Linked DNA regions of Saccharomyces cerevisiae S288C. The gene in region 1 interacts genetically with each later gene. Each region holds a gene or a part of one and is shown on either strand. Other genes may lie near its edges. The genes, in order: RTT10, SCS7, TRM1 and LOS1.

Evidence for each region.
Region 2: mutations in RTT10 (region 1) and SCS7 together harm fitness more than expected from each alone (negative genetic interaction), as found in Saccharomyces cerevisiae (2 studies listed by BioGRID).
Region 3: mutations in RTT10 (region 1) and TRM1 together harm fitness more than expected from each alone (negative genetic interaction), as found in Saccharomyces cerevisiae (5 studies listed by BioGRID, with this or other methods).
Region 4: mutations in RTT10 (region 1) and LOS1 together harm fitness more than expected from each alone (negative genetic interaction), as found in Saccharomyces cerevisiae (2 studies listed by BioGRID).

The regions. Positions count from the first base shown.
Region 1 is NC_001148.4:197,070-206,060, reverse strand, and holds RTT10 (tRNA (34-2'-O)-methyltransferase regulator RTT10), read left to right. Parts: upstream 1-3,524; coding exon 3,525-6,566; downstream 6,567-8,991. Other genes in the region: TCO89 (Tco89p), read right to left, coding at 1-813; CTI6 (Cti6p), read right to left, coding at 1,120-2,640; mitochondrial 54S ribosomal protein bL36m RTC6, read right to left, coding at 6,685-6,966; MRN1 (Mrn1p), read left to right, coding at 8,273-8,991.
Region 2 is NC_001145.3:807,066-814,244, reverse strand, and holds SCS7 (fatty acid alpha-hydroxylase), read left to right. Parts: upstream 1-3,467; coding exon 3,468-4,622; downstream 4,623-7,179. Other genes in the region: ZDS1 (Zds1p), read left to right, coding at 265-3,012; YMR272W-B (uncharacterized protein), read right to left, coding at 3,049-3,156; orotate phosphoribosyltransferase URA10, read left to right, coding at 6,697-7,179. UniProt on the Saccharomyces cerevisiae protein: Ceramide hydroxylase involved in the hydroxylation of sphingolipid-associated very long chain fatty acids. Postulated to hydroxylate the very long chain fatty acid of dihydroceramides and phytoceramides at C-2.
Region 3 is NC_001136.10:689,671-697,435, forward strand, and holds TRM1 (tRNA (guanine26-N2)-dimethyltransferase), read right to left. Parts: upstream 3,592-7,765; coding exon 1,879-3,591; downstream 1-1,878. Other genes in the region: VBA4 (Vba4p), read left to right, coding at 1-863; COX26 (Cox26p), read left to right, coding at 1,344-1,544; DPB4 (DNA polymerase epsilon noncatalytic subunit), read left to right, coding at 3,915-4,505; serine/threonine protein kinase KIN1, read left to right, coding at 5,030-7,765. UniProt on the Saccharomyces cerevisiae protein: Dimethylates a single guanine residue at position 26 of most tRNAs using S-adenosyl-L-methionine as donor of the methyl groups. Required for the modification of both mitochondrial and cytoplasmic tRNAs.
Region 4 is NC_001143.9:48,443-57,736, forward strand, and holds LOS1 (Ran GTPase-binding protein LOS1), read left to right. Parts: upstream 1-1,608; coding exon 1,609-4,911; downstream 4,912-9,294. Other genes in the region: ER membrane complex subunit EMC3, read left to right, coding at 1-513; ADD66 (Add66p), read right to left, coding at 564-1,367; EAP1 (Eap1p), read left to right, coding at 5,262-7,160; phosphatidylinositol kinase-related protein kinase TOR2, read right to left, coding at 7,493-9,294. UniProt on the Saccharomyces cerevisiae protein: tRNA nucleus export receptor which facilitates tRNA translocation across the nuclear pore complex. Preferentially interacts with tRNAs with mature 5'- and 3'-termini and does not distinguish between intron-containing and spliced tRNAs.

The DNA.
Region 1 (8,991 bases):
TTCATTGATTACACTTGTTGCATTCAGTTTTGTTTCAATTGAGCTTGGAGATGTTTCTCCATCTTTCTGATGTTCTATAGAATGGCTTGATTCTCCGAAATAGTTATTGGAAGATAAATGAGGTAATGGTAAGGATACAGCTCTATGATTTTCCTTTCCATCAGTACCTGATTTATCTTCTTCTTGTTCATCTATTGAATCCGGGGATTGTAATTCATTCTGATTTAATTGCTGCACATTCTTTTTTTCTTCAGGCATAACATGCTCGGCTATTACTTTATCATTATTCACCTTTCCATCTTCAATGTTGTCTTCCGAAAAACATTCCACCTCCTCGTCAGTAGTAGATTCACTCTTTTTAGATTCTTGCGCATCTCGAAGACTCAGAACAGATTGGGTACTTTTACTTCTTCGTGGTTTCAGGCCGAAACCAGCAGTTCCAGTATTAGAATGACTGCTGTTCTTTGGACTGAGCAGCGTATTATGCACCGGACTATGAAAGGATGCTGATCTTTTTCCTTGATTGGACTTTACTCTTGTTAAAGCTGTCATATTCAACCCACTAATCGTTCGCTTTCTGAAAAGTGCATCAGAACTCTTGCATTTCTGAGAAACGTTGTGCTTATTAAAATAATCATTATCCAGGGTGCCATCATGTGTTAAAACTCTACGCAAACCTTTGAAGCTTGCGTTACTCTTTGCTCTCGACCTAGTCGAAAACTGTCTAAATGGCTTTGACTGGTGTGATACTGTTGACGCATTAAGAGATGTTACATCAGTGTCTGACTTCAAAGTCCTTCCTCGATGAACCATAATTATAGTTACTCAGTAAGGATATATGATATATCCCAATATCTATGTTTACCTGACCCGTAAATCGATAGAATGTGCTAGTCCATTAGATGTTTGGATTCCTTAATCATCGTGCCAGCCAAATCGCTATACCATCCGCAACTAGCTATCCTTGCGGTTACCCGTACAAGAGTAAGCTCGGTTGATAAAAACAACGTTGAATTAGTCGTTTTTATATCCATATAGATGTATATATATGTATAGATGTGTTTGTTCGCCTCATTACAGTTATACTTTGGTTGAGAATAATATTGCAGTGTTTTGCGTTTATTGAATGGCATTAGTGTTATTTGAATATTTTTTCTCCCATAGTAGTAACTCTCTAGTCAGGTCGTCCATCATTGATAGACTTTCATTATAACCGTTGTAAATCGTATCAACTTTTTCTACGAAATGCTGGTTTTCCACGAATCGTACAAATTCCTCTCGATCAGACTGATCTTCACTCAATTCCCATTGAGTTCTAGAAATGAACTCCAAAATAGCGGATACCCTTCTTCTCATTTCGTTTAATGAGGTCCTTTGAGGGGGTAATCTGGGCTTTACTGGTTTGTCGGTACCTATATCAGCACTCCTTCTATTTTGGTTGGTGTCTGAACTTGTATTGCTTCGACGAGTTCTGTTGCCCTTTCTTGCTGGTTTGGAAACTCTTTTAGAACCCCTCGAACTAGCTTTCCTTGAATCATCCTCAGAAGAAGATATTGAGGTTAGGGGTAGGATGGGTTCATCAGTTTTCTCAGTGTCTTGCGCCGAACCCGTAGAAGATTCCTTTTCTTGACTAGCTTCTTTTTCCACATCATTTGTTTTTTCCATTGATTGCTCTTTCGATGGTCGTAGGCTTTCTTTCATATCATCATTTGTTACCGAGTCCGGTTTGCCTTCCGTTAGCATAACATCCGTTTGTAATCGAGTGGTGCCGTTGTGATTGTCGGTATCACCTTGGTATATATCAGCATCATTTTCATAACTTTCAGGATCTTCTTGATGTGATGTCCTCCTGCTTTCTTTCAAGGCTTTTTCAAGCATTCTTTGATATTGCTTTTCTTCTCTTGCCATGAAAGTTGCCCTTTTTCTATCCAGTAGCTTCTTATCACTATCTCCAGGATCCAGTGAATACTGATCGGTAGAAGCATCATCCATTGAATTCCTCCTCCTCCTTCTACTTGACCTCGTGTTGCCGTCCTTGGCTAATGCTACAGCCGAAGCTTCATCTTCTACTTCATCTTCTTCGTCGCCGATATCGTCGACGTTATCATCGGTATTGCTGGTATTTCTGGGACTTTTCTCTGCTTCATTGGCGGCATGAGATTTACTTGCAGCTGCACTTCGTGCCTTCCTTCTTGATTGCCTCCTTTTCTCTTGCACAGGTTTATAGATTGACCTTGCTTCGCCAGTATCTGTGGTAAAGAGCTGATGTAACTCCGGTCTGCATTGCTCGCACCAATATTTATCAGGTGCGTTGTCTTGAGTAATACTCACACAATAACCGTGCTGCCAGGAACTGCACTGCTCACATTGAATGAAAAATCCGGAGTCATCTGGAGTATCGAGCTCTCCACAGATACAGCGAGTTTCGCCTTCCTCTTCCTCGACTTCCCCCTCTCCACCTTCCATAGGAACATCTTCTTGTTTTACACTTTCTTCCTGTACACTTCCAATCGCCGCCGTTGTTGTCGCTGTTGATGTTGTTGATATAATGTCTGTGGACCCACTAGCAATGACTTCCGCTTTCTCCATATCTTCACTACCCACAACAGGGCCTTTAGGCACTATTGCTGTCGATTCCATTACTCTTCTCTATACTCCTATATGTTTATGCTATCTTTTAGTAAGGTTACGCAAAGTAAACTTCGAAGGAAACAAACTATTGATGGTCTCTGTTGTGAACTTTGTACCCCTGTAAATACCCAGTTACATAAAATTCATATACGAAAACCAACAAGAACAAAAAAGAAAAAACTAATCAACAAAACGTTATTTTTTGATCATGCAGTGAAAAGCCACCAATAGAAAATTGAAAATAGAAAATGCAGCTGATTGTGCTGTGCGGTTTACCTAGTTTACCCATAGCGGAGAAATTTTTCAAAACTAATTGATTACGTTAAAGCCTGTCTGCGACGTGCTCCGTCCTATTTCCGCAAGATGATGAGGGTAATGCCCTTTATAACTGCTCAAAATAAAAAATAACCGCCGAGGTCTTTTTAATTATCAAGGTTATAAGAAGTGCCAGAAGTGGGTGAACTTAACTCAATAAAAAAATATTAGTGACGAACATCTATCAAAAATTGAAAATTGAAGGTACTGCTCAGAGAAACTGAGTCTGGTCTTGCCTACATCTTTAAGAGGAATTTGTTCTGGTGTATTATTTATACAGCCGATAACATTGATGATACTCTCAGGGTCATTTTCACGTAGTCGTGCTTTGGTGAGTTGTATACTACCCTACGTACTTTTCACCGCTTATGTTTTACACTGGGGTCTGAATGATAGATTTAAGCCTAGCATACACATCGGCGTCTCACAAAAAACGACGCTGCTGAAAAAAAAAATGTAAGAAAAAAAAAGTGGAAAAATATGAGCATGAAAAAACTTCTGCTAGCGGACCTCATCGTTATTTAGCTTCTCATTCCCGCCAATTGAAGTTGCTCATTGAAGAAGAATAAGTGATTAAAATGAAGGACTTGTCTCATTATGGTCCTGCGCTATGTGTTAAATTTTACAATGATTATGTTCTAGCTGGTTATGGGCCTTTCATCCATGTCTATGACTATCATTCGGCTACGTTGATTAACAAATGTAGGCTATTTCACTACAATAAAGTTCATGGACTTAGCCTTTCTAGTGAAGGGAAAATTTTGGCCTATGGTGCAAGATCAGTAACAATAGTGGAACTTGAAGACGTTTTAAAGAAAGAGTCATTGGTGGATTTCGAAAGGATTAACTCAGATTGGATTACCGGTGCTACATTCAGCTTTGACAACTTGCAAATATATTTGTTAACATGTTATAATAAAGTGCTAATTTGTGATTTAAATTGTGAAGTTCTTTTTAGGAAGTCTCTTGGGGGAGAAAGATCTATTCTATATTCCGGTATAATTAAAGTTTTCGGTCCGGATAAAGTATATGTTAACGCTGGTACTGTAATGGGCGGTGTTATCATTTGGGACCTGTTCTCGGAGACAAAAATTCATAACTTACTGGGTCATGAAGGTTCTATCTTTTATGTTAATTTAAGCAACAACGGAAGATATGTTGCCAGTTGCTCTGACGACAGATCAATTAGACTGTGGGATTTAGAAACTGGCAAGCAGCTGTCTGTTGGCTGGAGCCATACGGCAAGAATATGGAATTTAATGTTTTTTGATAATGATTCAAAACTAATAAGTGTTTCTGAAGATTGCACATGCCGTGTATGGAACATTATCGAATCACGAGAAAACGTTGCCGAATTATCCATATCTAACGTTTACGAAGTACATTTAATCAAGAGTATATGGGGCGTTGATGTGAAAGACGACGAAATGATAGCTGTAACCTCCGGGAATGATGGTAGGTTAAAGCTGATTGATCTTCTTCAACTGAAGAGACACGGCGATGAAGAAACATCGTTCAGTCTAGATGATATCGCAAAGCAATGTGGCGATATTTTCGAAAAGAATGAAAGTATCAAGGGATTTCAATGGTTTTCATTCGGTGTAATTGCTATCACTTCATTGGGTAAAATACTTAAATACAGTGATGTCACGAAACAATGGAAGTTGTTACTAACAAATGAAAAATTCAACTCGTATCCAATTACAAATGGGATTCAAACGCAAAATATCGCTGTCTTTTCCAATAATAAAAGTGACATCCTTCTTATCAAATTTAGCAAAGATAGCGCTGACATAATTGAGACCGAAGAATTCCATTTAGATGAGCTTTCTAAGACAAATAACTGTCTCGTTACAGAATACGATGATGACTCCTTCCTATTGACTTTACAATCCCCAAATCCTCGAGAGAAGTTTGTATGTTTGGAAATAAGCCTTCAGAACTTAAAAATTAAAAGCAAGCACTGTTTCAATAAGCCGGAAAATTTTTCTTCCTCATGTTTGACCTCCTTCCGAAATCATATTTTAGTCGGCTCACGTTTTAGTACATTAGTAATCTACAACTTACTTGATGAGAGCGAGGAGCCCTTCATAATTAGGAGATTAAGTCCCGGAGACACTACAACCTCAATCGAATTTGTAGAAGATAAAGACAACTCTGCGGTCTTCTCAGTAACAAATAGGGATGGCTATTATGTATTTATTGAGTTGACGAAAAACAGTTTGGAAGAGGGTCCCTACCGACTAAGTTATAAGGTCTTGCATTCTAATAAGATGATGAAAGGTTTCTTGGAGGGCGCTTTCTTTAATTCAAAAGGTGAATACATTACTTATGGGTTCAAGTCCAGCTTGTTTTATCTCTACAATGAAACCAACTGTTATGAACTAGCTAGTGAAGTTTGTGGTGGTTCCCATCGTCTGTGGAATCTCGCAAAAATTACTGATGGCCACGTATTAATGTATATTAAGGCATCCCGATTTCATTTAAGGAAAATTTACAACTCCATTGTGCCTGAAACTTTAGAAAATGGTGTACACGGAAGGGAAATCAGAGATATTTCAATCTGTCCTGTTTCAAATACCAACACGAATGACAATTTTAAGGATGGGCATATATTCTGTACTGCATCTGAAGATACTACAATTAAGCTGGGATATTTTAACAATAGAACAGGGAAGGTGCAGAATTTTTGGACACAAAGAAAGCATGTGTCTGGATTACAACGTTGTCAGTTTATAAATCACAAACTAATGATATCATCTTCAGCTAGAGAGGAGTTATTCTTATGGGAATTGAACGATAAGTATAATAAACGACCATATATGACCATACGACAAGCTTTACCTGTATCCACAAATAATTCTGATCTAAGGATCATGGATTTTGATGTCAAATTTATATCACAGTCAGGTGACTTCTTATTAGTTACTGTTTATTCAGATTCAACAATAAAGATTTGGCACTATAGGGAAAATCAGAATAAGTTTGACCTGATCATGCAAGGTCGTTATAAGACGTGCTGTTTATTCAACGTCGTATTTATTGCACTGAAAGAAGAGCTCCTTGTTGTCATTTCACCAACTGATGGACATTTAGTGGTTTATAATATAACCGAGTACGTACCATTTTCCGTTGATCCGATTTCTGGCGATTTGGTTGACCACAAACTGGACGCTACTATCTCAAATCTTCCCGCACCTGTAGCGCAGTTGCCGGTACATCAATCTGGTGTCAAGTCCCTAGACTATGTTGCTAATGCTACAAGAACTTCCGCCACAATTTTGACAGGGGGTGATGATAATGGTTTAGGGTTAAGCAACCTGAAATTAGATGACTCGAATAAAGTAACGTTAAAAACAAGTGACTTTATCGCTGCAGCAGCTTCTTCGACAATAACGTCCGGTATGTTGATTAATGGTGGCAAAGAAGTCATTACCACATCGGTTGATCAAGTAATACGCGCTTGGGAAATTACCGCAGGCAAGCTTTCACTGGTAGATAAAAAGCGTACCACTGTGGCGGATACAGGATCATTAGAAATCATTTCCAATGATGAAGATGCTGATTCTGAGAAAACGTTACTGATCGGAGGTGTTGGTTTATCAATTTGGAAAAAATGATACAAAAAATTAACATATACATAAAAGAATATTATAGATATGTATTATTTACAGATTTTAGAAAATGAGAATATTTTGTAAACACCCGAACGGAGAACAGCGAAGAGATTTACATCTTTCAGCCTTGACGCTGTTTGTGTTTTTTATTCGACTTGCAATAAATGTATACTCTTCCCTTTCTTCTTACCAAGTAGCAATCACTGCAGAACTTTTTGACAGATGTTCTGACCTTGAAACCTCTGTTAAAAACCAAAGGTCTGTTAGCTGCAACAAGAGCTGGTTGCGGAGCTGCAACAGATAGGAGGCTGGGCACTGTGCAGGCCCTTGTTATCGTTATGGGGGACGGTTTCATGTGCAAAAACATCCTTGGCATAGTTAGGCGGAGAGTCTGTAAAAACATTCTTTGAAATCCTTTCGCTTGCTGAAAAATTCTGAGATTTGTACTATGAACCGTAGCCGTTATATGCGAGTAGATCGAGGCTATATCCCAATGCCAATAGTTCCACGATTCATTCCCTTTCTATTTGGAATAAGTGCGAAGACAGAATTTTTAATTTCGGCTTGGGTGAGAGAAAAAAAAAATCATAGTTTCGTTACGCAGATAGTAAATAACTAATACATAGATAAAAGCACCACCTTCTACCGGACCGTCGTCATTCTCGGCAACACCGTTGAAGTGTTTATGACTACGCTTTTTTTATCCTCACTTTTGGAATGCCCTTGAACTATGGACCTTTCACTCCCTATTGACAAATTCAAAAGACAAAAAAGGGAAACACTTGGAAAAGGTAACTTGACGTCCAATAATACACGCCGAATGAGGGCAGACTATGTCTTTCTTCCAACTGCCGTGGCAGTTGCGTACTTATCATTCTTATGTTCTTACAGTGGGATTCCACCATCATGGTAACCCGGTGCTTTTTTTCCTTGTGGTACGATTTTGGCTATGAGAAGAGAAAGAAAAGACAGAAAAAAACACGATCTTGAAATTAACTTTACCAGAAAGTGGATCTTGTGGTTGTCCGAAAGTCTACAAAGAGATTCAGTCACAACCGCAATCATACTCCATCCCTTCGTCACAGCAATAAATTAATCAGTTTCTTTGCCTTTGGTGGAAAGTAAAAAAAACTAAACTTGGTTCAGCACAGCGCTATATCTACGAGAACACCGTTGCCCACTCTTATACATTATTTTCACAGAGTCACATTCCCCACTGAATTCTCTCCTTAAGCTTCCTTTCTCTGTTTATTTTACCAATTTACAATTTCTAGAACTGATAGTCTCTGTACCTTTCCTTTAGATACACATACGCTTCATTTCTTTTGAACATTGTATTCTTCTATTTTCTTCGTTCTTCCGTTATTTGATATTTGCCCCTTTTTAAGTCTTCTGACTCACCTGTTCTGCTTTACCAATTAGGCTCCTTAATTGGTTCAACTGTCCATTCCAGCCTCATATTTTTCACTTTATCTTTCTTCATCATTTTTTTTGTCTAATTAATATCCGTTTCCAACTTCAATTCTCAAGGACACTCTTTTTTTTTTTGAAAAAAAATATCATATTTTTCTTTGCTAATACTATTTTATTTTTTCAATTCTGGTCGTTGAAGCCTTTTCTATTCAGATATTTCCTAAAGAAAAACAAAGAACTATCGTTGTATTTTTTTTTTTCTTCACCATCACATACTACTTCAATTGCATTAAAACATGGTGGTTTCTTATAACAATAATAATAACAATAACAATAACAATAACAATAATAATATCAGTAATAATAATAACAATAATAACATGTTCCCTCCTTTTCCTTCTTCCGATGACTTTGCAATGTATCAACAGTCCAGTTCTTCCGGCCCTTACCAAGAAACTTATGCGAGTGGCCCTCAAAACTTTGGCGATGCTGTGTATCCTATGAATGGTAATTTTACTCTTTTACCATCCGACTTTACACGAGAGCCTAATGATTCGTTCTTTTACGAGAATGACGGAATTTTTGATTATCAGCGTATTCAACAGCAACCAACTCAATTCCAGACAAAGCAGCGAAATGATTCACAACAGCAACGGTTTTCACAGGAACAAAATTTCGAAATTGATAACGAAGTTGTCCACAATAACAATCGTTATTATGAATATGAAAGGTCATCAAATGAAGTCTCTCCTTTTGATGATGAGAATCCAAATGTGTTATCTGATGGCATGTCACCCACTATTATGGCAACTGCAACTGCAGTAACCAACGCAAATGCGCCTTTACCAGTTAATGCACAAGCCAATAATCCTTTGAATTTTACATCGGCCCCAAGTAGAACTGTTTATTTGGGTAATGTGCCACCAAACCTAAGCGTTAAAGAGTTATTGGATCATGTCAGAAGTGGTGTCGTTGAAGACGTCAAAATCATACCTGAAAAGATGTGTGCATTCGT
Region 2 (7,179 bases), on another chromosome or scaffold:
GTTTTGGTGTTTTGGTGAAAGAATTTGGAGGACTATAAAGTACCTATACTTTGTATTACGGACTCAATAACAAGTCGTTCGTGTCAGTGGTATTGAAGTTGTCAGATCTAAGAGTAGAGAGAAGGTGGCATCTAATAGGTTTCGACGTTTTTCTTTTTTTAAGGTTTTTATTTGGTCTCCTAGAATTTAAGGTCTTAGTTAGTTTTGGTTTGTTTTGTGGGTTACATATTTTCAATTCAAAGGAGAATTTAGCTGTCTTTTATAATGTCCAATAGAGATAACGAGAGCATGCTGCGTACTACATCAAGCGATAAGGCGATCGCTAGTCAAAGGGATAAACGGAAGTCTGAAGTTTTGATTGCTGCACAGTCCCTTGACAATGAAATCCGCAGCGTAAAAAACCTAAAAAGATTGTCGATTGGGTCAATGGATTTACTTATTGATCCAGAATTAGATATAAAATTCGGTGGGGAATCTAGTGGGAGACGATCATGGTCTGGCACGACATCCAGTTCTGCGTCAATGCCAAGTGACACAACCACCGTTAATAACACACGATATAGCGATCCAACTCCGCTAGAGAACTTGCATGGGAGGGGTAACTCAGGGATAGAATCCTCCAATAAGACTAAACAAGGTAACTACTTAGGTATAAAAAAAGGTGTTCACTCTCCATCCAGGAAATTAAATGCTAACGTATTAAAGAAAAACTTATTATGGGTTCCCGCCAATCAACACCCTAACGTTAAGCCTGATAATTTCCTAGAGCTTGTACAAGATACTTTACAAAATATACAACTAAGCGACAATGGTGAAGATAATGATGGGAATAGCAATGAAAATAACGATATTGAGGATAATGGGGAGGATAAAGAATCACAATCATATGAAAATAAGGAGAACAACACTATCAACTTGAACAGGGGGCTGTCAAGGCATGGAAACGCGTCACTAATACGAAGGCCTTCAACATTGCGGAGGTCATATACAGAGTTTGATGATAACGAAGATGACGATAATAAGGGAGACAGTGCCTCTGAAACAGTAAATAAAGTCGAAGAAAGAATCTCCAAAATAAAAGAGAGACCAGTGTCGTTAAGAGATATAACTGAAGAACTGACAAAGATCTCAAATAGTGCAGGACTAACCGACAATGATGCCATTACATTAGCCAGAACTCTTAGTATGGCTGGTTCATATTCAGATAAAAAAGATCAACCACAACCGGAAGGGCATTATGATGAAGGAGATATTGGTTTTTCAACTTCACAAGCGAATACTTTGGATGATGGTGAATTTGCCTCCAATATGCCCATCAATAATACCATGACATGGCCTGAACGATCGTCACTGAGAAGGAGTAGATTCAACACTTATCGAATCAGGTCACAAGAGCAAGAAAAAGAAGTAGAACAAAGTGTGGATGAAATGAAAAACGACGACGAAGAACGTCTAAAATTGACCAAGAATACAATAAAGGTCGAAATAGATCCGCACAAATCCCCTTTTAGACAGCAAGATGAGGATTCTGAGAATATGAGTTCGCCTGGGTCAATTGGTGATTTTCAAGACATTTATAATCATTACAGACAGTCTAGTGGCGAGTGGGAACAAGAAATGGGAATAGAGAAAGAAGCCGAAGAGGTACCCGTCAAGGTTCGAAATGACACAGTAGAACAAGACTTAGAGTTAAGAGAGGGAACAACAGACATGGTAAAGCCAAGCGCAACGGATGACAACAAAGAAACGAAGCGACATCGTCGAAGAAACGGATGGACATGGTTGAACAATAAAATGAGCAGAGAAGACGATAACGAAGAAAACCAAGGGGACGATGAAAATGAAGAAAACGTGGATTCACAAAGAATGGAGCTCGACAATTCCAAAAAACATTATATTTCTCTATTTAATGGCGGTGAGAAGACGGAGGTGTCAAATAAAGAAGAAATGAACAATTCAAGTACTTCCACCGCCACATCACAGACAAGACAGAAAATCGAGAAAACTTTTGCGAACCTATTCAGAAGAAAGCCACACCACAAGCATGATGCATCATCATCACCCTCGTCGTCACCATCATCGTCACCATCAATACCAAATAACGATGCCGTGCACGTTCGCGTGAGGAAAAGCAAAAAGCTTGGTAACAAAAGTGGAAGGGAGCCGGTTGAACCCATTGTGTTGCGCAATCGCCCTCGTCCTCACCGTCACCATCACAGCCGTCATGGTTCCCAAAAAATAAGCGTAAAAACCCTTAAAGATTCTCAGCCGCAGCAGCAGATACCATTACAACCACAATTGGAAGGCGCAATAGAGATAGAAAAGAAAGAGGAAAGCGATTCCGAGAGCTTGCCCCAACTACAGCCGGCCGTTAGTGTAAGTAGTACCAAAAGTAACTCTAGAGACAGAGAAGAAGAGGAGGCAAAGAAAAAGAACAAGAAGAGGAGCAATACGACAGAAATTTCCAACCAACAACACTCCAAACACGTCCAAAAGGAGAATACCGATGAGCAAAAAGCTCAACTACAAGCTCCAGCTCAAGAACAAGTCCAAACTTCAGTCCCAGTTCAAGCTTCAGCCCCAGTCCAAAATTCAGCCCCAGTCCAAACTTCAGCCCCAGTTGAAGCTTCAGCTCAAACTCAGGCTCCAGCGGCACCACCATTGAAACATACCTCCATATTGCCCCCAAGAAAGCTTACATTTGCAGACGTCAAAAAACCTGACAAACCAAACTCCCCGGTTCAATTCACAGACAGTGCCTTTGGGTTCCCACTGCCTTTGCTGACAGTGTCTACGGTTATCATGTTCGACCACCGTCTACCAATTAACGTCGAAAGGGCCATATACCGGCTGAGTCACTTGAAATTGAGCAATTCGAAGAGGGGACTGCGCGAGCAGGTATTACTAAGTAACTTCATGTATGCTTATCTGAACTTGGTTAATCACACTCTGTACATGGAGCAGGTAGCCCACGACAAAGAACAACAACAACAACAACAACAACAACCCTGAAAAGGCTTCAGCGCTGCATACATAGACATATACACATCACACGTACATACACGAAAAGATAGCTTTCATGCTCACAAAGCTACGTTCCCCACAGAATATTTCCCAGGACAACAGGGAAAGTTGGACAAACACCAAACTTCTCATAATACAATAGCCGAAAACAGTCTTGCTTTTGATAAAGAGAGCTTTCTGCGGCCGGAAGAAAATGTGCCTATTCCGCGGGGCCGTTCCGCGCAGAAACTACCGCACGACGTCGGAAATATAACGGGGTTTTGCGCGGATTTACTGACGTGTGACATCTTTTCGCAGTTAATTTTTTTTTCAATTTGGAACCGTATAAGAACAGAGGTATTAGATAGTAGAAGCTATTGTGTCTATTGTCTTTGATTAGTTTTTTTTTCTATTGTTATCGTGGCAGGCACTAAAAGCGGTGGTAAGCTAAAACTAGTACGAAGATGTCGACTAATACTTCCAAGACTTTGGAACTGTTTTCAAAAAAGACGGTACAAGAACACAATACTGCCAATGACTGCTGGGTCACTTATCAAAACAGAAAGATTTATGACGTGACCAGGTTTTTGAGCGAACACCCTGGTGGTGACGAGTCCATCTTGGACTATGCTGGTAAGGACATTACTGAGATCATGAAAGACTCAGATGTGCATGAACACAGCGACTCCGCGTATGAAATCCTTGAGGACGAATATTTGATTGGTTACTTGGCAACTGACGAAGAGGCAGCGAGATTGTTGACTAACAAGAACCATAAGGTTGAAGTGCAGTTGTCAGCTGACGGTACTGAGTTTGACTCCACTACTTTTGTAAAGGAGTTGCCCGCCGAGGAGAAACTAAGTATTGCTACGGACTACAGTAACGACTACAAAAAGCATAAATTTTTGGATCTGAACCGTCCTTTGCTGATGCAGATTCTGCGTAGTGATTTCAAGAAAGATTTTTACGTTGACCAAATCCATAGACCAAGACATTACGGTAAGGGGTCTGCCCCGCTATTTGGTAATTTCTTGGAACCATTAACTAAAACAGCTTGGTGGGTTGTTCCAGTTGCTTGGTTGCCTGTAGTTGTGTACCACATGGGTGTTGCTTTGAAGAACATGAACCAGCTATTTGCATGTTTCTTGTTCTGTGTCGGTGTCTTTGTTTGGACTTTGATTGAATACGGTCTTCACCGTTTCCTATTTCATTTCGATGATTGGTTACCTGAAAGTAACATCGCATTCGCCACACATTTTCTACTACATGGTTGCCATCATTACTTGCCCATGGACAAGTACCGTTTAGTTATGCCACCTACTCTGTTCGTCATCCTTTGTGCTCCATTTTACAAGTTGGTATTTGCTCTGCTGCCACTTTATTGGGCTTACGCTGGTTTTGCTGGCGGTCTTTTCGGTTATGTCTGTTATGACGAATGTCATTTCTTCTTGCACCACTCTAAATTGCCTCCCTTCATGCGTAAGTTGAAAAAATATCACCTGGAACATCATTATAAAAACTACCAACTGGGATTTGGCGTCACATCCTGGTTTTGGGACGAAGTTTTTGGCACCTACTTAGGCCCCGATGCCCCATTGTCCAAAATGAAATATGAATAATTATTGGTCAGCCTCGTCCAAAATTGTCAACCTAGGAAAAACAACATTACGAGCAATGAAATCTTGAGCAAAGTTCTTTTCTGCGACATATTTATTTCAAATCTTTATTTATATTATTATATGTAACTACGTATATATACATACACATGGAATGGAATCATAGATGAAATCGATGAACAAGCACGTTATTTCTTAAACGAATATCCAATCGATGACGACTATACGAAAAAGCGGCCTCAAAAAAGAACCGAATTGACAGGTACATTTTTCTTTCACAGATCAGGTTGGCAAAAAAATACTAACCGTATCCTGTGTTACTGTCGTTAGAACAGGAATCAAGATGAGCACAGTGAAGTTATCTGATAGTCCCTAGACTCTCATTGACTTTTTGTAATATTAGGACACAGAATATACTAAGGGTTCTTCTCGAGAATAAATGAACACATAAGCAAATCAGAAATTCTACATACTATAAGAGTACCTCATACCTAATCATTTCTTAATCCATTCCGTTATCAGTAATTGCATTCGAGGTTCCATTAAACTGGTGCCGACATTTATATAGTTATATTGGTCCAATGATCTTATCATCCTCCACACCGTATACAACTATATCTTAGTAAACAACGGCTAGTAAGTGAAACGATGGTCCATTTTAGGCACGAAGAATAAAGTAAAATCTGTATCTGCGTTGCGCAAATCATCAATTGCATTTATGTTGGAACGAGAGTAATTAATAGTGACATGAGTTGCTATGGTAACAATCTAATGCTTACATCGTATATTAATGTACACCTCGTATACGTTTAAGTGTGATTGCACCTATTGCAGAAGGAATGTTAAACGAGAAGCTCAGACAATACTGAAGCTGTGTTAAAGACCTATTAGTTGAACATGTTATGGTAGGTACATATATGAGGAATATGAGTCGTCACATAAATGTATAGTAACTACCGGAATCACTATTATATTGGTCATGATTAATATGACCAATCGGCGTGTGTTTTATATACCTCTCTTATTTAGTATAAGAAGATCAGTAATTATTTCTTCATTAATACTATTTTTTACCTCTAATTATCAACAATTTACATAGCCCAAAGTCATGAGGAGAGCTTCTACTATAAACCTCACTCACAATTCTTTCTTTAGTCAGACGTAGAAACCTAAGATTTGTTAGTATATACGGTTTTCCGTACCAGTACAAGATCCATTGCTTGCGATATTGTTAAAATAGGGACCATCTTTCTTAAAAAGGTTCCATAAAACCGGAAGTTTTAGTGTACACTAACAACAGAAGAAAAAGGTCCTATAGTGTAGTGGTTATCACTTTCGGTTCTGATCCGAACAACCCCAGTTCGAATCCGGGTGGGACCTTCCCTTCATTTTTCGTATTTTACGAAATTTAAACCATCATTTTTTTTTTTTGAACCAATGCGAGAAAAAAATAAAAAGAGAAAGGTAAGAAAAAGAAACCAACCTCTATACAGATACAATCGCTCATCTCGATATACTTATTTTTACATACCAGAGATATCGAAGAAGTTACTCAATTATTTGACAAGTGCTCATCATTATGTCATTTGAAGTTTTGCGTGTGACAGACAAGTCCTAATAGGATATCCTTTAGATAAACCATTGGGGCCCCTTATATGAGGTTTATACACACACATATATATGTATACATATGGCTAAATTGCCTTCTGAGAGCCTGATAGTTTTTTTAGCACTTTATTCTTTCACTTGTATTTTTTTAGACATTTCACGTATTCGGCTAATGGTATGGCACTTTCTCACGTGCCTTTCAGACTATGTAATATAAACTGTTCTAACCTGCTCTACACCTGACTCACATGACAGCATTTCCTTTCAGAATCACATAACATTTTTTGGTTTTAATTATCATATGCATTTCAAGGGAGTCATACATAACCTTTCGGGAAAGGCCCCTTCGCTTCCTAATCTAGGGTAAAAGGCCATCACAGGCTCTTTTATATAGATTAAGAACTAAGGAAGTGTCACGCAAAATAGTCGAGACCTAGAGCCATCAAGAATAATAAAACATAATCCAATAATGTCTGCATCTACTACAAGTTTAGAGGAATATCAAAAAACTTTCCTTGAACTGGGATTAGAATGCAAAGCACTAAGATTTGGGTCATTCAAGCTGAATTCAGGCAGGCAGTCGCCATATTTTTTCAATCTTAGTTTGTTCAATTCTGGAAAGCTGTTGGCAAACCTTGCCACCGCGTATGCAACTGCTATCATTCAATCGGAGCTTAAATTCGATGTTATTTTCGGACCTGCTTACAAAGGGATCCCTTTGGCTGCTATTGTATGCGTTAAACTAGCAGAAATCGGGGGCACTAAATTTCAAGGTATTCAATATGCTTTTAATAGAAAGAAAGTTAAAGACCACGGCGAAGGTGGTATTATTGTTGGAGCATCGCTTGAAGACAAGAGGGTGTTGATTATCGACGATGTCATGACTGCAGGAACTGCAATCAATGAAGCATTTGAGATAATCAGTATTGCTCAAGGTAGGGTAGTGGGTTGT
Region 3 (7,765 bases), on another chromosome or scaffold:
CGATGATTCAAGCGCTACTATTTTCTGTAATTATCGTTTGTGGCATTTTATTTTTCTTGATAGAGACAAGCGATACTTACATGAACTCTGTAATTTCAATGTCCTTACAAGGTGACAAGCGTTTAATATGGACAATGATAGGAATTTCATTTTGCTTTGCAGCATTAATGTGCATCATCCCATTCGGTACAACGTACTTCATCATTGTTTTAAATTTAAGCACTTTACAACTTGCAGAGAGATTGTCCCCATTCTTTTTCTCCATTGTACTGGGTTACTTTAGTGTTTCTTATTTTTGGAAGTCGAAAGGACAGAATTTTTTGCTAAAATTTGTTTTAAGCGGAGCCACCCTGTTACTATATGTGGCACTTATGGGGGTAAGTTTGAATTTACCAGTATGGAAGCAATATATATGTTTGTCTCTGCCATTTTTGGGCTCCTCTATGATATTGACCTTGCTGTCAAATCTTTATCATGAGTACCATGAACAAAGAAAGTCACCTATCAGTGGTTCTATCGTATATTGTTTCGGTGCCGTGGGGGGGACGGTTGGTATTTCCTTGGGTGGTTATGTCTTCCACAAAACATTAATAAAACTTATGCATGAGAAGGTGATGCCATTTAGCAAGCAAGGTTATCTTAAAAAGGACCTTTTGAAAATTATCAAGCACGCTACGGAATCTTCAGATTGGGTACACGAATCAGCCCCAAAGTTTGTTTTTCAAACTTTGATTGAGTGTTATTTACAAGCATGTCGAAACGTATTCAAACTCTCTACCCTTTTTTTTACGATTACTGTCGTAGCAATATTCATTTTCAACAGAATCCATTGTCGTAGTCAAAATTGTTTGTCACTATCTTGAACCGGTAGATGAAAATGTATACTTTAAATAATACAAATACTTTTTTTCTTTTTTCTTAAACCCGATAATACTTTTGTCGCTTAGATAAAGATGCAGGGAACTTCAATCATTGTGGTGACCGCACAAAGGCGGGATCTGAAAAATGATCGTATGGGGCGGGGGAAGAATAGAAGAGTGAACAAGGGGATATGGTATCCGTGCAAGAAATGAATGGCCAGAATAGCTTGATTTTTACTTGCTGAAAATGCAGCAAGCGGAAACCCCTCTATCAGTAGGCAACCAAAGAAAACATGGTTTTGTTTATGATAGTGTTTTCTCCGACTAAATGACACTTAATATATAAGCCAGTCATTTTTCTTTCATACTTTCCTCTTGCATGACGAAACAATTCTTTTTTTATTTCGTTTCCTTGTCTGTACTTTTTAGACACTTGACCATATCACAGATATTTACAGACTCTTTTAATTCTAAATAGGTAAAATGTTCTTCAGCCAAGTTTTGAGATCTTCCGCTCGTGCTGCCCCAATCAAGAGGTATACAGGCGGTAGAATAGGTGAATCGTGGGTAATTACGGAAGGTAGAAGGCTCATTCCAGAAATCTTTCAATGGAGTGCAGTATTGAGCGTTTGTTTAGGTTGGCCTGGTGCTGTATACTTCTTTAGTAAGGCAAGAAAAGCATGAGTTTGATAAGAAAAAAAAATTTGCTAAAAATGAGTGTAACACTACCAACATGGCGAGTTTAGTTTGATACTAGGCGCTATACATTATTATTTATATGCCCAGAGGTTACAACAGTGGCTACAATGCAAAAAATATACTGGCTTATATTTTTCATTTGAGATCTGGTTCCTCAAATATATATATATATTTATTTATTTTTTACACATACATACTGCCCTCCTGATTACTTTAAACATCTATATTACAAAAGAGAAGCATTCTTTTCCGTCCATTATACCGTTCTCGGGCGGATCCTTAGTTTCTTACGTTTTAGCTCTAACACTAATCAAAATTCTTATGAAGTGTTGGGACGGGCTTTTGGGCCCCAATTCTTTGTTGGATTTTCCTGATATCTCACAATTTTTAGCTTCCTTAGTTTTTCAATATTACCGCTTTGTTCATTTGGTGCGAACGACAGCTTTGAGTCATACTCTGATTTGACAGTGCCACTCAACCATCCTGGCATTGCCGATAAAATCTTATAGCCCGTAGTATTTGGATTCATTTTGCTTAAGTCTTTCTTCTCATCATCACATTTCTGCATCACATACCAGATTGCATCCCATGGAGCGTTAGTCTTTAGGGACGATGGTTGGGCATGTGTCAATGAACATTCAAAGCCTAGGGAACCTAGGCCTGCGACTACTTTTTTCAAGGGAGGTACTTGTAATTTTATTACCGATGCAATATGGTTAGGACTGAAATAGAATGGCGAATCGGATAATTCATTCTTAGCTAGAGATAGCATACCTTCAATTCTTTTACGTGTTCCATATGTATCATCCTGGTCACGATGCTCTTCTTTATTAATTCTCAACACCTCCTCGATGAACTCCTTGTTGTGTAGAGGTCCTGCATACATTGGACCAGCTAAATGGTATGTCCCCTCGCAGAACTTACATTTAGTATCAACCGGAGGCCCTTGCGCAACCGAGTATTTGGTGAATGTTTTGTTGTTCCTACCTTCGCGTTGAGAAATTCTGCCCAGAGGTTGATTGTGGTAAGAGCCGCAACGGGAACAATGGTAAGTAGTCATAGTACTTGACATAACGTTTTTGACTTCAATCGGGCTTGTTTTGACTTTGACAAAAACTCTGACGTAAAAGTCAATGCTCAACGACAAAAGCGGTTCCACAGTTTTCTTGTATTTCGCGGCAGTTTGCTTTAGTAAGTTCAATACTAGTCTCAGCGCACTTTCGTGAGTTGATTCATGAGAAACCATATTTGCACCACCATATAAGGCAAAACACTTTTCTGGGTATCCGTTACCGGCCAAAACGGATAAATCAGTGCAAGTTACCAGCATTAGACCACCCTCCTCAATACTCTGAATAGCCGCATCTACAAAAGGTGTAACGGTACCGTAAGGATCCAAGTCGATGACGTGAAACTTATTATTCGTCGCTTTGTTACGGTACATTAAGACATTAGCATCATCAAGGTTTGGCTTGACAATGTTTTCGACACTATTATATTCAACGTTTCGTTTTATAGATTCGACAGCCTCTGGAAGTAAATCGTTAGCAATAACTTCCCTCACATGGGGAATTTCATGAGCATACCTAATGGCTCTTAACCCAGTGGCTGACAATGCTTCCAAAATATTTATATAAGGTTCGTTTCGATTAGAATTACCAACGGCTTCTTTTGGTGACCCGTTTCCCATTTTTTGACGCTTGGAAGAATCATCGTTAGTTTCCGCGCACCTTTTCTTCTTACTTTTTTTATTATTTCTCTTTTGGCCACATTCCTCACCATATAGGTTGTCCCACGCCTTGATGCATGTAACACTTAGATCTCTATTAAATTGTTGGATGGGATTATAGAAAACAGTTTCCTTTTTAGGGAAAAGAATTTCTGCTTTTCCTTCCTTGACTATATTGAAATCCTCAATATTGATTCTTGGTGCACCATACGCGGTAAAATTCGCTTTAATTTTGGATATAGCAGCCTTCAACATTCCGTGTAAATTTGCCCGCTTGAGGGGTATCCTGAAGAAACCTTCCATATCTACATTGTAAGAGGAAAGGTATCAACTTATGACTGCTCAGGATCTGTAACTTTGCGATGAGCATTGAATGCGATGAAAAAAAAATAATGCTTTATCCCTTTGGACGAATAAAGAAAGGCTCAAATTGGAATAACGTTAAAAACCAGATTCGATCATCAGAGCTTAAAATTGTTATTCATAGCGGCACAATAGCAGAAGCCACAGAATATTACCTAGAGGTTTTAGGTGAAAGGAAGGATTTTTTTAATTATTTAATACTTTGAAATAGAAGTCAAGCCTTTCATTGCTTATTTATATCAGACCATATATTTTTACACACGATGCCACCAAAAGGTTGGAGAAAAGACGCCCAAGGGAATTACCCCACTACTTCGTATATTAAAGAACAAGAGAACATTACGATTCAGGACCTGTTATTTCCTAAAAGCACTATTGTGAATTTGGCACGCGAAGTGCCACAGCAAAGCGGCAAAAAGCTGCTGATAAATAAAGACGCATCACTAGCGTTACAGCGTGGTGCTACAGTATTTGTTAACCACTTGCTCCTGTTTGCAAGGGAAATTGCAAAGAGTCAAGATAAAAAAAGCTGCAGTGTAGATGATGTTCTGAGTGCTTTGGACCATATAGGACACTCGGCATTGAAGGGTCCGGTTAGAGATAAACTAGATGAATACCAAGCTGCTGTTGAACAGAGGAAGAAGGAAAAACTAGATAGTGGTGAAGTAGATGCTGATGGCGATATAGATATGGGTGAAGATAAGGAGAATGTGCCCGTGGAAAAGGTTAAAGAGCATGACGAAATAGAAGAACAAGGCGATGCATTACAGGACGTAGAAGAGTCCTCCGAAAAGAAACAGAAAACGGAGAGCCAAGATGTAGAAACTAGAGTTCAAAACCTTGAGCAAACGTAACCCCGCTATGGAAACTGTCTAGTAGTGCTTGCCACCACTCCCACAGGATCGTAGTATGTAACTTGCCTTTATTACCTACATACATAATAAGCTATACTCATCGTCGTTATTTGCAAGCCGGGGAACCCAACGCGGCGCCAATGCGGAAGGAAAGAAAGGGGACAAGAAGTTGATATTGGTGGAACGTTAACAAGAAATTATGGCGTTGAGGAAGTGTATTAGCGAGATACGATATCAAGCAGGTTTAGTTAGAGCCACTTTGTGATTTGAAATTTTTTGAGATTTACTTCGTTATTATAAGGACATACGGTAACCTAGGCTAGTTAACATAATTAGTTGTCACCCTTCGCCCCCCTACCCTATCGGTCTTTCATTTTCCAACTATTGATTAGTAAAATTCAAACATCTTTGCTCCGATTAGAGCAACTGAATATACTAGGGATTTTGGGCTATTACGCATTTTTTTTTTCAACTTCTTTTAAACAGGTACAGTTTATTACGATTACTTTTTGCTCACGTAGAATATGGATGATTATCACGTAAATACTGCCTTCTCAATGGGCAGAGGTAACCAGCAGGATGATGGCAATAGTGAAAGCAACAGCATGCATACACAACCAAGCACTATGGCGCCCGCTACGCTGAGAATGATGGGAAAAAGTCCACAGCAGCAGCAGCAGCAGAACACACCGCTAATGCCCCCGGCGGATATCAAATACGCCAATAATGGTAACTCACATCAAGCAGAGCAAAAGGAGAGACAAGTAGAACTTGAAGGTAAATCGAGAGAGAATGCACCAAAGCCAAATACTACCAGCCAGAGTCGAGTTTCGTCTTCTCAGGGCATGCCTAAGCAGTTTCATCGAAAATCGTTAGGAGATTGGGAGTTTGTTGAAACAGTTGGTGCAGGTTCTATGGGTAAAGTGAAGCTGGCAAAACATCGTTACACTAATGAGGTTTGTGCAGTAAAAATTGTAAACCGTGCTACAAAGGCTTTCCTACATAAAGAACAAATGCTGCCACCACCCAAAAATGAACAAGATGTTTTGGAGAGACAGAAGAAATTAGAGAAGGAAATATCTAGGGACAAAAGAACTATTCGAGAAGCGTCCTTGGGACAAATCTTATATCATCCACACATATGTAGACTTTTTGAGATGTGCACGTTGTCAAATCATTTCTATATGTTGTTTGAATATGTTTCAGGTGGTCAGCTGTTAGACTATATCATCCAACATGGGTCAATACGAGAACACCAAGCGAGAAAGTTTGCTAGGGGTATCGCGAGCGCCTTAATATATTTGCATGCTAACAACATCGTCCATAGAGATTTGAAGATAGAAAATATAATGATTTCAGATTCCAGTGAAATCAAGATAATTGATTTTGGACTTTCAAATATTTATGATTCTAGGAAGCAGCTTCATACATTCTGTGGCTCTCTGTATTTTGCCGCTCCCGAGCTGTTAAAAGCGAATCCTTATACAGGACCTGAAGTAGATGTCTGGTCATTTGGTGTAGTTTTATTTGTTTTGGTATGCGGTAAAGTGCCATTTGACGACGAAAATTCGAGCGTTTTACATGAAAAGATCAAGCAAGGTAAGGTTGAATATCCCCAACATTTATCTATCGAAGTAATATCACTGTTATCCAAAATGTTGGTAGTAGATCCGAAAAGAAGAGCCACACTTAAACAGGTTGTGGAGCACCACTGGATGGTAAGAGGGTTCAATGGTCCCCCTCCTTCTTACTTACCGAAAAGAGTTCCCCTAACTATCGAAATGCTTGATATAAATGTCTTAAAAGAAATGTACCGTTTAGAATTTATTGACGATGTAGAGGAAACAAGAAGTGTTTTGGTCAGTATAATCACAGATCCTACTTACGTTCTTCTCTCTAGACAATACTGGACTTTAGCGGCCAAAATGAACGCAGAATCCAGTGATAACGGAAACGCGCCAAACATAACAGAGAGTTTTGAAGACCCAACTCGGGCATATCATCCAATGATTTCCATATATTACTTGACTTCTGAGATGCTTGATAGGAAACATGCGAAAATTCGGAATCAACAACAGCGACAGAGCCACGAAAATATAGAAAAGCTTTCTGAAATACCGGAAAGTGTGAAGCAAAGGGACGTAGAGGTCAATACAACCGCTATGAAATCAGAGCCAGAAGCCACGTTGGCGACAAAAGATACCTCTGTGCCATTCACTCCAAAGAATAGCGATGGCACAGAGCCCCCCTTACATGTCTTAATTCCACCGAGGTTAGCAATGCCAGAACAAGCGCATACGTCACCAACGAGTAGAAAAAGTTCTGATAATCAACGCCGTGAAATGGAATATGCTCTCTCTCCAACTCCTCAGGGAAATGACTATCAACAATTTAGGGTACCTTCAACTACTGGCGATCCCTCAGAAAAGGCGAAGTTTGGGAATATATTTAGAAAATTATCACAGCGCCGTAAAAAGACCATTGAACAGACATCTGTTAATAGTAATAATAGTATCAATAAACCTGTGCAAAAGACGCATTCTCGCGCTGTTTCAGACTTTGTCCCTGGTTTTGCTAAACCGAGTTATGATTCAAATTATACCATGAATGAGCCTGTCAAGACAAACGATAGCAGAGGTGGCAATAAAGGTGACTTTCCAGCATTGCCTGCGGATGCAGAAAATATGGTAGAGAAGCAAAGGGAGAAGCAAATTGAAGAAGATATAATGAAATTGCATGATATTAATAAACAGAATAATGAAGTTGCAAAAGGAAGCGGGCGGGAAGCTTACGCTGCACAGAAGTTTGAAGGAAGCGACGACGACGAGAATCATCCCTTACCACCTCTCAATGTTGCAAAAGGTCGAAAACTACATCCAAGCGCAAGAGCTAAATCAGTTGGTCATGCTCGTCGTGAATCACTCAAATATATGAGACCCCCAATGCCTTCATCTGCCTATCCTCAGCAAGAGCTTATAGATACTGGGTTCTTAGAATCAAGTGACGATAACAAATCCGATAGTTTGGGAAATGTTACTTCACAGACGAATGATAGCGTCAGCGTGCATTCTGTGAACGCACACATAAACTCGCCATCTGTGGAGAAGGAATTAACAGATGAAGAGATATTGCAGGAAGCTTCTAGAGCTCCAGCCGGTTCTATGCCATCCATCGATTTCCCCCGTTCTTTATTTTTGAAGGGTTTCTTTTCTGTTCAGACAACTTCATCGAAGCCTTTGCCAATTGTTAGATACAAGATT
Region 4 (9,294 bases), on another chromosome or scaffold:
GAGGAAAGGCACCTAGCCAAGGCCAAGCAGCAGGATGGTTCGCAAGCTGGAGAGGTTCCTAATCCCTTCAACGATCCAAGTATGTCTAATGCTATGATGAACATGGCTAAGGGTAATATGGCCAGTTTCATCCCTCAAACTATTATTATGTGGTGGGTGAACCATTTTTTTGCTGGATTTATTCTTATGCAACTACCTTTCCCTTTGACTGCCAAATTCAAAGAGATGTTACAGACCGGTATTATCTGTCAGGACCTGGATGTGAGATGGGTTAGCTCCATTTCATGGTATTTTATTTCTGTGCTCGGGCTAAATCCAGTCTACAACCTGATTGGGTTAAACGATCAGGACATGGGTATTCAGGCCGGGATAGGTGGCCCTCAGGGCCCCCAAGGCCCTCCACAATCACAGGTTGACAAAGCAATGCATGCGATGGCTAACGATTTGACTATCATTCAGCATGAGACTTGTCTTGATAACGTTGAGCAAAGGGTTTTGAAACAGTATATGTAAGTTCGTGGCTATATATGCACTTGTATAGAAAACAGATATACTTCTCGGTTTCAATTGTATAAATCTACAAATTTATCTCTTGCATCCGCCATTCCGTATGCACCTTGCCATGATATAGGCCTGACAAACTTTACAATTGGTGGCGCGTTTTTGATAACTTTTTGAGAGATTATCCATTGTAAGAACTGTTGAGAATCTAATGAGTTGTCCCCCTCATTGGCCAAACAACTACAGTACTTAATGCTGCGGAGGGCTTTAGGCCTCTGCGACGCATTCAGTATTTGGAAAAGTATTTTGAAGATCGGCTGATCAACGGATATCTTGTCTTGGAAACTGGTAGGAGTAAAATGTAACCAGTTATTGACCATCGACTCTTGATCGTTTAGATGGAGGTTCGATAAAAGCTCAGCTTCATCGTCGAAATAAAACTCTCCGAGCGAATATACCTCCTGTGGACGTACAATCACACCATTTTCATCCTCCATTGCATATAGAGAGTCCCAAATGCATATTTCCGATATATTATACTTGCTCAAGAACGGCAAGATGATCTCTACGATGAAATTATTCAGATAGTTAACGGACACGAGTGGTGTTCGTTGCTGTATGGCAAAAAGTCCTCGCTTCTTATTGTAGAAAACTTCCAAAGCGCTGCTATACTTCATATCAGCGTCTTTATATAGCGAGTCGCTACCATCCTCTGGTCTGTCTAATGGTCCCACAAATTCCACTAGGTATTTCGAATCTAACGCCTCCAAATATTCCCATTCATTTGCTTGTGAATTCAGCAGCCAGTCAATACTCAATTGTGGTATATTCCCTACGCTTACTAATGGCAACACCAGGCAGCTCATCGTATGTTCCTTTGGGTTTTGTGCTATTCTTTCCTGAAGTTTTAATTTAATTTCCTTATTTTAGTGTAGGTGGCTTTTTTTTTAGCAGGTTACTCATTGTGGGATCATTTTCAGGCTCAAAGCGAAAAATTGAAAAATTAGCTAACAAAAAAAAACTAAAATTTTTTCAAATTCCATCAGTTAGTTTGAGAAGTTGTCGGTAAGCAACCTATAGAACAAGTGTTTCCAGTCAAATCGAGGAATGCTAGAACGGATTCAGCAGCTGGTAAATGCAGTGAACGATCCACGCTCAGATGTGGCCACTAAGAGACAAGCCATCGAGCTGCTAAATGGGATTAAATCATCAGAGAATGCATTGGAAATCTTTATATCATTGGTCATCAACGAGAATTCAAATGATTTGTTGAAGTTTTACGGACTGTCCACATTGATAGAATTGATGACGGAGGGCGTGAACGCTAATCCAAATGGTTTGAATCTGGTAAAGTTTGAAATAACCAAATGGCTCAAATTTCAAGTTTTGGGCAATAAGCAAACTAAGCTGCCTGACTTTTTAATGAATAAGATTTCTGAAGTGCTGACTACTTTGTTTATGTTAATGTACAGTGATTGTAATGGAAACCAGTGGAACAGTTTTTTTGACGATCTGATGAGTCTATTCCAAGTGGATTCGGCTATTTCCAATACGAGCCCGTCTACCGATGGTAACATTCTTCTAGGTCTTGAATTTTTTAACAAGCTCTGTTTGATGATTAATTCGGAGATTGCTGACCAAAGCTTTATTAGGTCTAAGGAATCTCAGTTAAAAAATAACAATATAAAAGATTGGATGCGTGATAACGATATCATGAAATTGAGTAATGTGTGGTTTCAGTGTTTAAAACTGGACGAACAAATTGTGTCACAATGTCCCGGATTGATCAATTCTACCTTGGATTGTATTGGGAGTTTTATCTCATGGATCGATATTAATTTAATTATTGATGCAAATAATTATTATCTGCAATTAATCTATAAATTTTTAAATCTTAAAGAAACCAAAATTTCATGTTATAATTGCATACTGGCCATCATCTCTAAAAAAATGAAACCAATGGACAAACTGGCTTTTCTGAATATGATCAATTTGACCAACGAATTGACTTACTATCATCAAGCCATATCAATGAATCCCCAAATTATTACATTTGATAATTTAGAAGTCTGGGAAAGTTTGACCAAGTTGATTACTTCCTTTGGCATAGAATTTACTATCATTATTGAACAAGTCAACGATGATCAAAAATTGGATACATTATACAAACAATCGGTCATTTCAAATGTTGATTCCATATTATTGGAGAAAATAATACCAATACTTTTGGAATTTATGAATAATGAGTTTGATTCAATAACAGCAAAAACCTTCCCATTCTGGTCAAATTATCTGGCTTTCTTGAAAAAATATAAAGCATCTTCACCAAATTTTGTACCATTGCATAAGGATTTTCTAGATAATTTCCAACAAATTTGCTTTAAAAGAATGAAGTTTTCAGACGACGAGGTCACACAGGATGATTTTGAGGAATTCAACGAAACCGTAAGATTTAAATTAAAAAATTTCCAGGAGATCATCGTGGTAATTGACCCAAGTCTGTTTTTAAATAACATTTCTCAAGAAATTTCAGCAAACCTAATGAATTGTAAAAACGAAAGCTGGCAAATTTTCGAGCTAACTATTTATCAAATCTTCAATTTAAGTGAATGTACCAAGAACAACTATTTCGGTTTGAACAAGAATGAAATTATGACCTCACAACCTTCGCTAACTTTAGTACGATTTTTAAATGAATTGTTAATGATGAAGGATTTCTTATTAGCCATTGATAACGAACAAATCCAAATACTATTCATGGAATTAATTGTGAAAAACTACAATTTCATATTTTCAACTAGTGCTAACACAGCAAATGCTACTGATGATGATGAAAAGTATCTATTAATATTGAATATTTTCATGAGCTCATTTGCTATGTTCAATAAAAGAGAAAACGTCAGACTAAGGTCATGGTATTTATTTACAAGATTCTTGAAGTTGACAAGAATCAATTTGAAAAAAATCCTCTTTGCCAACAAAAATTTGGTTAATGAAATAACTAATAAGATAAGTCCTCTACTTCACATAAAAGTAACATCTATCAACGCCCAAGGGACGGATGACAATGATACAATTTTTGATAATCAGTTGTACATATTTGAGGGTATTGGGTTTATAATCACATTGAATAATAGCAGTCAGGAGCTCACTGCTGCCACTGCCAACACCCCCATCGATTACGATATATTGGACCAGATATTAACTCCGCTATTTACACAATTAGAGGGTTGTATTACCCAAGGAGCTTCGCCAGTTGTGATTCTGGAATGTCATCACATTCTTATGGCTATTGGTACTTTAGCGAGAGGTTTGCACATTGGTCTCGTCCCTGAGAATCAGGTCAACAATATGGTTGTCAACAAAAAATTAATCAATGACTCTTTAATCCATAAATTCTCTAATATAGCTGAGGTTATATTAGTAACATTCTCTTTTTTCAATAAGTTCGAAAATATCCGCGATGCATCTAGGTTTACCTTTGCCAGGTTAATTCCAATTTTAAGTAATAAAATTTTACCATTTATCAATAAATTGATTGAATTGATCTTATCGTCCACAGATTTAAAATCATGGGAGATGATTGATTTTCTTGGGTTCTTATCTCAACTGATTCATATGTTTCACACGGACACAGACTGTTATCAGCTGTTTAACCAGTTACTTACTCCGCTTATCAACAAAGTCCATTCTATTATCGAAGAGATTGATGAACAACACGACCAACAATCAAGCAGTAACAAACCTATAGACACTGCAGTCACAGCCACCTCCGTAAATAAGAATATCGTGGTCACCGATTCGTATAGAGATAAAATACTATTGAAAAAGGCTTACTGCACATTTTTACAGTCATTTACTAATAATTCCGTCACTTCGATACTATTGTCAGATATAAACAGAGCAATCCTGCCGGTCATATTAAACGATTTGGTCACCTATACGCCGCAAGAGATCCAGGAAACATCAATGATGAAAGTGTCACTCAATGTATTGTGCAATTTTATCAAATGTTTTGGGAATGGGACCTGCTTGGATAATGACGACATCAATAAAGATCCCAACCTTAAAATAGATGGTCTCAACGAATACTTCATCATGAAATGTGTCCCAATAATCTTTGAAATTCCGTTCAATCCAATATACAAGTTCAATATCAAAGAAGGGAATTTCAAAACAATGGCATATGATTTGGCAAGATTACTGAGGGAGCTATTTATCGTCAGCAGCAACCCCACCACAAATGAGAATGAATGTGTAAAATATTTAACTCAGATCTACCTTCCACAAATCCAATTACCACAGGAATTGACGATTCAGTTGGTTAATATGTTAACCACAATGGGTCAAAAGCAATTCGAAAAATGGTTTGTAGATAATTTCATTTCTGTTTTAAAGCAAGGTCAATAGCTTTCAGGCGCAGAAAACCTGAAAATAAAAAAAAAATGCAAAACGAGAGTAAAAGTTGTAATTATATTTATACTAATATTTAAATTGGTAATATGTAATTAGACTTATCATTCACTTTGGTTTAGCAGCTAGTCATGTAATGGCACTAAAAGTGCTTCTTTATCTATTATTTATACGTGACATACCATTACTTCTATGTATTACGTAAAGAATGACAAACGTTTAGTTTTTTTAATTTCAAAGAAATCGTTGGAAGGTTCAAAAAGGATCAGGTGAGATATTAGAGTATATGAATGTTTCAGTCTCTAAGCTACACAAAGAACTAGCATAGTAGGACTTTAACCCATACAATGGAACTCAACGACCCTTCAATTATATCAAGCAGCCAGTTTTCAGGTGAATTGTCTGACAGCGATACTGCAGCCGCTACTCACAAATCGCAACAAGCCATCTCAAATTTATTCCAAAAATTAGCCAAAAAGGGCAGAGAAGAGAAGCCAATCGGTAGCGTAGAATCTTCAACTGATAGCTCTAACATTTCTGTTGCTACGAGCGGTAACAATAAAGAAAGCAATAAAAAAAAAAATAAGAAAACGGCCATGCTAAATTTCAGCAGTTTGACGGACCCTATAACGAACTACAAACCAATGGATCTGCAATACAAGACATATGCATACTCCATGAATGAACTTTATCATTTGAAACCATCTTTGGCAAGTGCTTCGTACGAAGAAGACCCACTTATTTCGGAACTTGTGAGGAGTTTACCCAAAAGAAAGTTTTGGCGATTGCGCATGGGACCTCCAGATCAAAAGCATGCTAATAACCATCATTTTAATGGGAACAATGGTGGAGGCAGTTGGAAGGCTGGTTACAAGAATGGGAAAAACGATGAGAGAAGAATGAGTAGAACCAAAAACATGCAGGGAGGCAAACGAAGATCTCAACAAGATGATGAAGAAAAAAAGATTGACCAAGAAATGCTGGAGATGGACAAGAATCTTCAATTAGGAGGTGACGTCGGCCATTCAATTGCAGATTTTGAAGATTGGAAGGCAAAGATGAAAGAATTAGAATTGAAAAAACTTTCAAAATCTAAAGGAATCAGTAACTCTACCGCAATTGCTCCCAGGGAAAGCGCCTCTCATGAAACACCCACCGATTTAAGACCGGTCATTCCAAGGGGCCCTAGTTCAATAACAGATTTTTTGAATTTAAAGAGGCAAGATAAGAAGGAAGAATCTTCACAACAAACACCTGGTATTCCTGTTGGACAGCCAAGCCTATCCAAAACCAGTATAGAACAAGTTAACGAATTAGAAACTAATTCAGATTTGGGTAAAAGTTCATCATCTCGGTTTTCATCATTTTTCAATAAATCTGCCACTTCGTTGCCTTCATTAGATAATAATAATCAAGTGCCATCGTCAAACGTGTCTGTAGTAAACAACGATGGCAACAGTACACCTCATCAAAGTGGTTCAAGACTGATGTCGTTTTTCAAAGAATCTAGATCGAGCACTCCAAATGCAGAATCGCAGTTGTTATCAGCCTCAGACAAAGATAATGGAAAGATGCAGACTCTTCCGCAATTCCAGCAGCAACCGCAACAAATGCAACCAATGGCATTTACCCAGCATCCTCCTAATAACAACGCATTTTTCAATGGGCTATTGAATAAAGGTAAAAGTGAAACTAGTACTCCTCCTCCTCCACCCCCAGGACTAATTGCTCATCAGGGTCCACAATTTCCTGTGATGGGTGTACCACCAAATTTTCCACAACGCATGATGCCACCGCCACCAGGTCTCGTTCAATTCCAGAAAGATTCTAAAGATGTAAATAAGAAGGAAGACAGGCAATTAAGGCAAAATAAAAATCCAAACGGAACAAGAAATAGCAAGGGAAAACAAGAGGAAACAGCAACGCCAGATCTGCCTCAACAGCAATACATGCCACCACCCCCACCTCCAGGGTTTTTTCCAATGCATCCTAACTTTCCTAACGGCCCAATGCCACCATTACCACAGGGGTTCCCAATCCCACCAAATGGTATGTTACCGGTAACAGGACAACAGCCACAGCCACCTTATCCAAATATGATGCTACAAGGAAATTTCCCCCCTAATTTCCAGCAAGGTTTTGGTAGTAACTCCCCTATGCCAATTCCATCTATTATTAATGCCAATGGCAAAAATGTTACAAACCAGTTACCACCAGGATTAAACTCTAAAAAGAATATAAAATGAGATGCGTAACGAGCGAGTACTTGACAGGAAACGACAAAAACACAGTGAACATACTATCTAAAAGCATGTTCTTTTCCTTTTCATTTTTCATCTTTATTATCTAGAGTTTGTATATAACATGTATCCTATATTATCTTATCCTATCATCATCACTTAACTTGTTATAATTCTCCCATATACTTATGTTTTCGCCTTTGATATTTACTAGTCGAAGGAACTTTTTTCGCAGTTAGTAACGTCACGCTCGGAACTAAACATTAATGAATGAGATGCATTTTTATACAACACTTTTACAGGCTATATACAACTAAGTGATTTTCAATACATTAAAACTACCAGAATGGACACCAACCGATATAATGTTGGCATAGGTTTTCCACTGATGTGGCTTGTTGGATTAGTTTATCCACTTGTTCTGGAACGTCCAAGTCATTAAACCTTCTTATATCGTTCCCCGTTAATTTGTCAGTAATGCGCTTCAATACCAACATGGCCCTTGCATTTCGAATGGCATTCTTGTGCTCGTTTTCCACCCTTTGAACTTCTTCTTCGGTAATAGCCCCATTACTCAATAGCTCATTGGCATTCATCACGGGAAGTTGAATGCCCGTTTCTTCCTCAATTTTCTTTGTTGGTAAGTCAAAACCCCAATTGATCAAAGGATCGAAAGCAAAAGCTTCAAGGATTGCCATTAATGAACCCTTGTTATCTCTAAGTACCTTCATAACATTCTCACAAGTAATACGGAAGCTACCTTCAATTCCACTCACTTCCATTGCATATGTTAACATTCTAGTTAATCTAAAAGGTACTTTTTCGGGGAATTTTTCTCTTAATATAGCAGCCTCGAAACAATCACCAAAATCAATATGAATGACTTTCCCAGTGATTCTATCCAACATCAAATTACTAGGGTGGCGGTCACCTAACCCCAATATATAACCGGTCATGGACATCACGGCTAGCGATCGAGTGTAAGTAGTTCTACGCTCCAACCACGTTTCCGATGACCTACTCTTCAGCCATAACACCTTATAAAGATCTTGTCCCTCCGTATTATTTAGGGCGTAAGTGAAGACTTCTACTTTCTGCAACAACGTTAAATTGTCATAATCAGGTGCCATTTGTAACATGACCCAATGCTCAATGTTTAAAGGAATTTTTTTGGCTTCTCTATGCTCCCTAATTAATACATGGAACGTGTCACTATTCGGTACCCAACCCAGTAACCCAGACTTCGGAGATAATGGGATTGCTGGATATTGCTGGATATCTAGATGCCTTCTAAAGCACTCAGCGTCATTTTGCAAAAGCGTGTTAACTAGTCCGAATAATTGCATGACCAAGCTATCCTGTCTAATGTCTTCATGTCCTTTCAACACATACTTATAATCTTTACCATCACTACCCTTGATACAAAACTTTCTCGGTCTTTGTTTGGATGAGATTACTGAAAATACTGGCTCGAATTTAGATATTTTAACAATTGGTTTTCCACCACTTGCACGGGTCCCGGGGACAGCCAATTCCAAATCATGCGCAGATAGTAGTTTTGGCGACACATGTTGTAGTTCAAGAGTTTGTAATTGTGGCAACTGTTTACCAATTTTCCTGAAAACATTATAGTAAATGTCCCACGCTTGGTTTAAATTACTAACATCTTTAGATTTTTTGTAATTCATCAGCCATTCGTAAGCGTCATTCAAGTCCCTACCAAAAGAATTTTGGAACGATATTTCCCTCAAAGTTTCCGGTCCTCTCTTCAGCATTTCGTACAGAGGCTCTAAAGCAGCAAACATTTTTTCGGTATTATGTTCTCCAAAAAACTGCCTACTGGCGTCATCCAGACCCTCATACCATTGCTCATGCCAAAGCACCGCCATACGTATCAATTCGTGGCTGACAAGTTCAGCCTGGTCGACCAAAACTGGACTATGTATTCTCATCTTTTCTATGATGGACAAAGCTGCTTTCTGTCGTGAGAGAGATTCGGATTTAATCGCAACCATTAAGGGGTACACTAATGCCTGCGGATGAGCCTTACCTAGATCAGATAATAGGGAGAGTAATGACCTACTAACAATTTGATTGGGTTGATGAATTCTAGAAATTAACTGTGGCAACACTTCTAACC